Linked DNA regions of Canis lupus familiaris. The protein of the gene in region 1 purifies or fractionates together with the protein of each later gene. This does not show direct contact. Links are inferred from orthologs where the notes say so. Each region holds a gene or a part of one and is shown on either strand. Other genes may lie near its edges. The genes, in order: TXNL1 and UBE3A.

Evidence for each region.
Region 2: the proteins of TXNL1 (region 1) and UBE3A purify together in Homo sapiens (affinity purification with mass spectrometry; 3 studies listed by BioGRID and IntAct, with this or other methods). This does not show direct contact. The link is inferred for Canis lupus familiaris from reciprocal best matches to the Homo sapiens genes TXNL1 and UBE3A.

Annotation. Positions count from the first base shown.
Region 1 is NC_049222.1:19,294,047-19,297,866, reverse strand, and holds part of TXNL1 (thioredoxin-like protein 1), read right to left. Parts: intron 468-3,820; coding exon 345-467; intron 1-344. UniProt on the Homo sapiens protein: Active thioredoxin with a redox potential of about -250 mV.
Region 2 is NC_049224.1:35,646,747-35,651,034, forward strand, and holds the start of UBE3A (ubiquitin-protein ligase E3A), read left to right. Parts: upstream 1-1,219; 5' UTR 1,220-1,738; intron 1,739-4,288. UniProt on the Homo sapiens protein: E3 ubiquitin-protein ligase which accepts ubiquitin from an E2 ubiquitin-conjugating enzyme in the form of a thioester and transfers it to its substrates.

The DNA.
Region 1 (3,820 bases):
TAATTAGTCTCTATTTCTCAGGTACAAATTCATTTGGGTGGGGTAAAAAACAAAATATGGAAGACAGGTCAAGAATGAATATAAGGACTTAAGGTGGTGAACGCTCAATTCATTAGTGGGGCCATTCCAAAATTCTGAGATTCTGTGTAATGCACCTGGCAGTTTGCATAGAACAGAGAAAGGAGGTGGGTCTACACCATCAAAGAAACGGAAACTTACAAAAAGGAAAAGAAGTGGTCATCTGAGGAGAAACACAAAACAATGAGATGGAAACATAATAAAGAACCCAGAGCAGGCATAAATATTGATGATCCCTACAAGCTTTAATTTAAGTATTCAATTACCTGTTCATCACAATCAGATTCCAAGAAGGTCATATCTTTTCGTAAACAGTTGTCAAATCCATGCTCATCACTTTCATTAAGGCATTCACAGCCAGCTTTGTTAATAAAAGGCATTAAATCCATCTGAAAAAAGTAAACCAAGACTTTAGGCAAAGCACTTGGATTTGGTCTAACAATCTAACCAAAATGTAAATACACGATTCTCTCTAGAGTAGGCAATTTTAAAGAAAATTTCTCTTTTAAAATAGTTACTAAAATTTTTACAATAATCCCTTCATTTCAAATTCTGAAATGAAGGGATTATTCATTTCTATCACTATTAAAGCCAAATCTAGGTTTAGCCCACTTGATAAAGTATCAAAAACTAAGTTTTTAACATGAAGATTATAAAATGTTGGCTTGTACTTTTTTATTAACAGTGATTTGCTGTGCAAAATATGCAAATTAAAATATCCATAAGATCCAAAGAAAGCCGACCTCCCTCTTCTAGTGGTCATGTACTCCTTAAACCTATATCCATAAACAGTTTACATTTAAGATAAATAACAAATAAGGATTAGAACACTTGTTATTATGGAAAATTTCAAACATATATAAATAAATAACACAGTGAACCTCTCGTACTCACCTCCCAGTTACAATAATCAACTCATGGCCACTCATATTTCATCTTTACACCGCAAGCAGGCCCTATCCCCTCCTCCCATTTTCAAATAAATCTTAGACATGTCTTCATTTCATTCATGAACATTTCAGTGTATTCATGAACATTTCTAAGAGATAAGGACTCTAAAACAAATCCTCAATATTATTATAACTAAACCGAGTTAATACTTTAGTCATTAACAGATTTCCATGTTCACATTTCTTCAGTTGTCTCATAAATGTTTTACAGTTGGAAATAAGAGTTCAAAAAACGTACACTGTATTTGGTTAATGTCTCTCAAATCTCCTTTCATCTATGGTCATTTAGCATCTATAGATTTCTAATATTCTGGATTGTGCTGACTGCTTCCCCATGGCATCATTTAACATTTTCCTATCTCCCGCGTATGTGTTGGTGGGTAGTCCTACACCACACCGGAGTTCTGACAGTGGTCATCCCTTCTCCTGGCTTTAATGAGTGTGCCTCTGGTGCTCTCTCATGAAGATTTTATTGATTGCTTTTGGAATAAATGGGTAATGAATTCTGTCAAATGCTTTTTCTGCATATTAGGAGATCAGAATCTTTCTCTAGATCACTGAATTTTGTTTACTAATATTTTCAGAACTTCAAAACAACTGTTCCTAATTGTAACTCATCGGTAGCTTTTTTTGGTGCAAACGTCAAATTCTGGGATCAATGTCATATTTATTTAAAAAAATTTAAAAGTTTTCCCTCTTTATATATAGTCTTCGAAAGTTGGAATAACACTAGACTATCTGATCTTTAAAGATTTGGTAAAATTTCCCTATGAAGTTCCCTTGACCCTGATGGTAGAGGTCTCTAACTACTTTCTCTATTTCCTCTATGGTGATTGGTCTATTTAGGAGTTCTGCTTATAATGGAACTGATTTTGATAAACCCTTTTTTCTAGAAAAGTATCCATTTCATCTACTAAACAAGGACGAATTTTGAAGTTTACCAAGTACTACAGATTATCATTTACACATTCACCTATCACAACGAGTGCTCTATTTTTTTATACAGATACTAATGCATATGTATATCATTCTGAAAGAGTGTATACCATTCTAAGGAAAGCTTTTTAATGTCAAATAATTATGTCAGGTCATTATTATCAATATGGTAAGAATCCATTAGTATAGATCCTTAATTATTCATGGAGTGACCTAAATGCTTTTAAAGCCAAAATGTTATTTTGAATTTATTAAATGTTACGCTGTAGATGTTAACCCTATTGCTCAGGGTAACACACTGTAGCCAATTTAAAAGCAGCGGGGTGGAGGAGCAGTGGAGGGATAAAGTAGCACTGTAAAGCAAAGTGCCATTCTAGAATTACTCTAAACTTTAAGAACATTTGCCTTGAAAGGGTAGTTTAGACAAATCTTTTAAACACATTTTCCATTCTACCAAGATACCTCTTCAATATTATATCTAGGATTAAGACCCCAAGCATGAAGACAACATTGCAGTCATAGTATCTTAATGATGAAAAATAAACTAGGTGACTTAAAGTTGTTTTAACATTTACTTATCGTGGGACACACAAAACAAGTATCACCAACACATGCATTAAAGTGCTTTGTTATACAACACTCTCTGGGACAAACTGGCATTATATCTGACCTAACTGCAAATTGACATATTCTAGAAATATGCCATTGGAAATAAATAAATACACTACCTATGGAATCAGCTTGCCAATGAGAAAATAATGAGAAAACAATCAGACAAATCCAGATTGTGGGACATTCTAGAAGACAGATGGTCTCAACCTGCGCTGTACAATAAGATAGCCATTAGCCACATGTGGCAATTTAAAATTAAATTAATTAAAAATAGATAAAAGTTAAAATTTGGGGTCTCAGTTGCACTAGGCATGTAACAAATGCATAATAGAGACATGTACCTAGTGGCTACTCTATTAGAGTGGTATTGGTTTAAACTTTCAAAAAAAGGCAGTCATGAACAAAAGAAAAAAAAAAGGAGACAGAAGTTTCCAGAACACTAAAGAGAACAACTTAAGTGCAATGAATGATCCTTGACTTGATCCTAGATGGAGGAAAAAGAGGTATAAAAAATATTCTGGAGGAGCACCTCGGTGCCTCAGTCAGTTAAGCTCTTGCCTTCAGCTCAGGTCATGATCCAGGGGTCCTGGATCACTTATAGGGGCTCCCTGCTCAGCGGTGAGTCTGCTTCTCCCTCTCCCTCTGCCCCTCTCTCCACTTGTGTTCTCGCTCTCTCTCTCTCTCCCTCTCAAATAAATAAAATCTTAAAATAAAAAAAAGAATATTCCAGAGATAATTAAGAAAATGTAAACATAGGCTATAAGTATTCTGTACCACTGTTAAATTCCTTAGGAGTGACAATGCTATCATGGTCATGTAAATGAATGTTCTTGTTCTTAGAAGCTACAGGCTAATAAAATATTTAGAGATGAACCAACATATTTTGTCCACAGTTTCTTTTAAATGATTCTGCAGAAGGTAGAAGTCTATAAGTAAATATTAAGAAAGCAAAAATAGCAAAATATTCACAACTGATGAAACACAGGTGAATGGCATATGTGTTTGTTGTACTACTGCTCTGTCAAGTGTGTTTTAATAAATTTCATTGTTCTTTTTTGGAGGGGGAAAATCTAACATAAGACACACACAGGAAGTCAGAAAAACCTTTCCATGCTTCCAGTTTGGGTTAATGAAAGATCTGTCTTACTATACAAATTAGAGTCACTTAAGGTTTCATTTCATTTTGATGAACGATGAAAAAATTTGTAGTCTAAAATCTATAGTTCAGAGATCAGAATACTAAA
Region 2 (4,288 bases), on another chromosome or scaffold:
ATGAGGATCTGTTAATGGGAGAAAATGAAAAAAAGAGTAAGGAACCGAGTTAAAAATCGGACATGATTTAATACTGTCATTTATCATTAATTGTTCTGGGATAATTTAAATTCCACTAGCTTATTTTTTACGTTTTTTTTTTTTTTTTTTTTTTTTTTTACAGGTTATAATTGGGAAGCCGTATCCATATATCTGACTTATAATGTTCTAAGAATGGCAGTTAAATACAGTGCTATGTAAGACTGTTGATTTAAAAAAAATTGAGTATCAGATGAATGGGATCTATATAGTATTTCGGGGCTTAGCGAAGTCGTAAGCCATTAGGAATACTGTTTGTTAGTGATCCCACTACAGCTTTGCTAAGTGTCGCAGAGCCATAAAATAAGCCCTTTTAAATAAAAAGGTGACCTTGATAGTATGAAGACGCATGGCTTTAAGTGGCTTCAATTGTCACGGGGATGGAATCAGCATCCCCCCGGCTGGTGTGGACCACGAGGCCACCATCTCCTAACAACCTGCCAAGGGATGGGCTTTCACCTTCGACTACAGTGATGACATTGTGTCGGCGGGAGGCCCAAGCAGATGACCTTGTCCCCTGAAGGTGGCTCACGCTCTCGGGGTACCACAGCAGGACCTACAGCTGCCGCCTGACGGGAAGGGGCTGAGATCGAAGGCCCGGTGTCCGGAGGCGTCGGCCCCGCTATGCGGGGCTGGAAGCCATCACAGCCCCCGCCCCCCGGCGGACCCATCCCGGTTAACATCGGGAGCGTTTATGTCCTAGCACGTCCCTGGACTTGGGTATACCAGGGGGCCGTCCAGCCCTCCCAGGGGCTCCAGGGGGCTCCCGGCGTTACCCCCTTCTTTCCGCGGGGATAGAGCCACCACAGACAGAGGTGGCTCCATGGAAACACGAACTCCTCTGCCTCGTCCCAAGATGGCGACCAGCCCTGGTAGGACTCCAGGGAGCCCCGAGCCACTTCCCCTTCCCAGCAGGCCCTGCGCGGGCGACGACGGCAAGAAGGCAGGGGGCGGAGCCGGCGTGAGAGGGCGGGGCACAGCGCTGCGCCCGCCCGCGCGCACCCCAGCCCCGCCTCACGTCGCTGCGTCCCGGCCCGGAGCTCTCGCCCGGCCGGGCGGCGCGCGCTGCCTGCTGGGATACTCGGCCCGCCCAGCCAGTCCTCCCGGCTTGCGCTGCGGCCGCGAGATCCGCGTTTTTTTCCAAGATGGTGGCGCTGGGTTCGGGGTGACTGGCAGTAGACGACAGAGCCTGAATCCCCTTCGCCGGAACCTCGACACACCGCCTTCCTCCCGCTCACGCACCCCGCTGCCACTTAGCCATCCGCCGGCCTGCGCGCTCGCCTTCCGCCGCCGCCTCGGACTTGGGCTTCATCTTGCGGACCCAACGCTTCGGGCAGCGGGCGGCGGCGCCTCCCTCGGCGCGTCTCGGGGTCGCGCTCGGAGCAGTCCGCAGCCCAGCCCCGGCTCGGCGGGCCCCGCAGCTCCCCAGCGCGGACAGGCGGCGGCTGGCGGCGAGCTCGGGTTCTCTTGCGGCCCCGGCGCCCCCTTTCCCGGCCTCCGTCTCCGGAGAAGGAAGCGCGGGTCCCGCATGAGCCCCGGCGGTGGCGGCAGCGACAGGGAACGAGGCGGTGGCGGGCGGAGGCGGCGAGCGAAGGCTACTGCGACCAGTGAGGCAGCCGCGGCTGCGAGGGCCACGGCCCGGGCGCGGGGGCGACCGCAGGTCAGTGTGGCCGGGGGCCGTTCCCGACGTCGTCCGTGTCGCCGAGCCGCCTTCCGGGGCCTGGGAGGGAGGGTGGGAGGCCCCCGGACCGCGCGGCGGTGGGGGGGGGGGGGCGGCTGCTGCCAGGACTAGGCCTCTGGTGGCGGTGGCGGCGGCGGCGGCGGCTGCCTCCGTAACTGTCAGTCCTGGCCGAGGGCCGGAGGGAGGGTGGTGTGGCCGGAGGGGACGCGAGCGGGCCCGGGGCGGGGCGTGCAGGGCGTCGAGAGTTGGCCTCGGTGGAAGGGCTCGCGGAGCAGGCCGGAGCCGGGCTGGTAGGGCCGGCCCTCTCCTCCCGAGGGGAGAGTTTTTCTTGAGGGCTCGGCCCCGTGGGTGAAAAATGCTGAGCCTGGCGCTGCGGTGGGTTGGGATTTGGGGGTGGACGGTGGCGGGGGTGGGGTTGGGGGGGAGGGCGGATGAAGTGGGAAATCGAGCCCCGGGTCGCGTCCACAGATTATCCGCGTTTTCATGTTAAACGTGAGTTACCGGGTTTGCCAGAAATTCCCTTAAATGCAAACCTGCAAACAGTTGGCATTTTTTACTTTCCCTTTTCAGTTGAGAAAATGAAAAGGACTCTTTCTTCGTCATGGCGTGGAGGTTTTGTTGGTAAAGTGAGAATTGAACGTGGCAAATGCTTTAATCAATAAAATTGTTAGAAATGATTTTAATGTAGACTTAGACTCCTTCAAAGATAATTTAGTCTCTGAATTTTTAAAAACGACCAGTGGGCATACTAAAATAGAAACATTACTAAATCTGTCTGGGATTCTATTTATTAAGTGGCTAGGGTGCTGTTGAAATGTAAAAGAATAGTAATATGGGATTTACAGTCCATAGTTACCCTCCGTAAATATGAGGGGAATATGGATATGACCCATAATTTTGGAGAATTCCACTGCCTGCAATATTGAAAGAAGCAGGAAATTATTCCAGAATATTCTGGGGGGAAGAAAAGGGCCTGAAATGGAAAGGACCTAGAGTTTGGAAGTATAACTGTTAAAAAGTTACCTGTCAGAGTCACTGTGGATACCCAATAAATATCTTGAGTGAATTAGACAAGAAGGATAAGAAGTGTTTATTCATAATCTCTGACTAATAAGTACTCAGATTATTGTGTAAGCCATGTAAAAATTTAGAATTTAGAAAGATAAAAGTATAATTTTGTCATGATATATATAGAAATAATTTTAGAGGTAGATGGTGCTTATAAATCGGGTTATCACATTTGTAATAAAATGAATACAATATTCACGATGATGCTGATAAGACCAAAGAATGAACCTGAAGCCTTTTAAAGAAACTAATAATCATGACAACAAAAGCAAGAAATAAATTCAAGAAATAATGACCTTCTCCTTACAAGAATGGGACTGGAAACTAAGGAAGTCTTGTATCAATATATATTATCTAGTATGCTAAGTATTATGTACACTGTTGTCTGGACATTGCCTAGTTCTTGAGGACTTTACAGAGTAAATTACAATATTACAATGTTTTGGTTCCTTTTCAGGGGTTTTGTAAGCTGTTTTTGTTTTACTTCTCTGAAATTGTACATTTTTTTCATGGCTTAAAAAAATACCTTCTTAAGTATGCTTATTAGAAGTGTGAGGAAGACACATTCTCATCCCACTTGCCCAGCTCATGTAATAAGGTTTATTGGGTATTTAAAATTGGATTTTAACATTTAATCAGTTGTATTTCTTAAACTTTAGATCATTTTTAAAGTGGTACTCCTCTCTCCCCTCCAAAAAAGAAAAAAAAAAAATCACCCCACACATCTGAAATGATTTGCCATTTCAAATAAGCAGTCAGTGGAATAATCCAAAACTATGCATCATATCTAAATTTTTCAACCCAAACACTTGAAATATTTACAGATGTTTATTTTCTTAAATGATTATTGGTTATGTACTTGTCATGTTGCACATTTTTGTTTATATCTAAACTAGTATTGGTCAAAACAGGGACATTACATTAAGTACATAGGTATCTGTTAAGAAATTAGTTTTTTGATTTTTTTTATGAGTGAAGACAAGTTTTCTCTTTTTAGGATAATTCGGGATAACAGAGTTTTGGCTGATTTTGACATTCCCTGCTCTGCCCCCACTGCAAATGAAAAGATAAATTCAGACATTATAATGTATACAGGGAAGATAGCTTTGGAATTAGATTCCATTTTTACTTCTGGGCTCAACCTTACTTGTTTGATCTTAGAAAGTTACTTAGTCTTGGTGAGCTGCAGTTTTGTCATCTGTAAAATGGGGTGGTGAAACTAACTCAGTTTCAAGGATTAGAGTTCGTAAAATGTCTGACACTTCAGCCCTCAATAAGTATTATCATTTGAAATCTTCCTGAAACACCGTTTTTTTGTTCTTAATATTATTCTCACCTTACACACAGTGAACTCTTACCATGTTATCTTTTACGTTATTTTCATTCTCACTACCTATGAATTCCCTTTAAGGGCAGGGACTTCTAGAGATTACTAGAAAGTGTGTTGCCAGAGTGTGGATG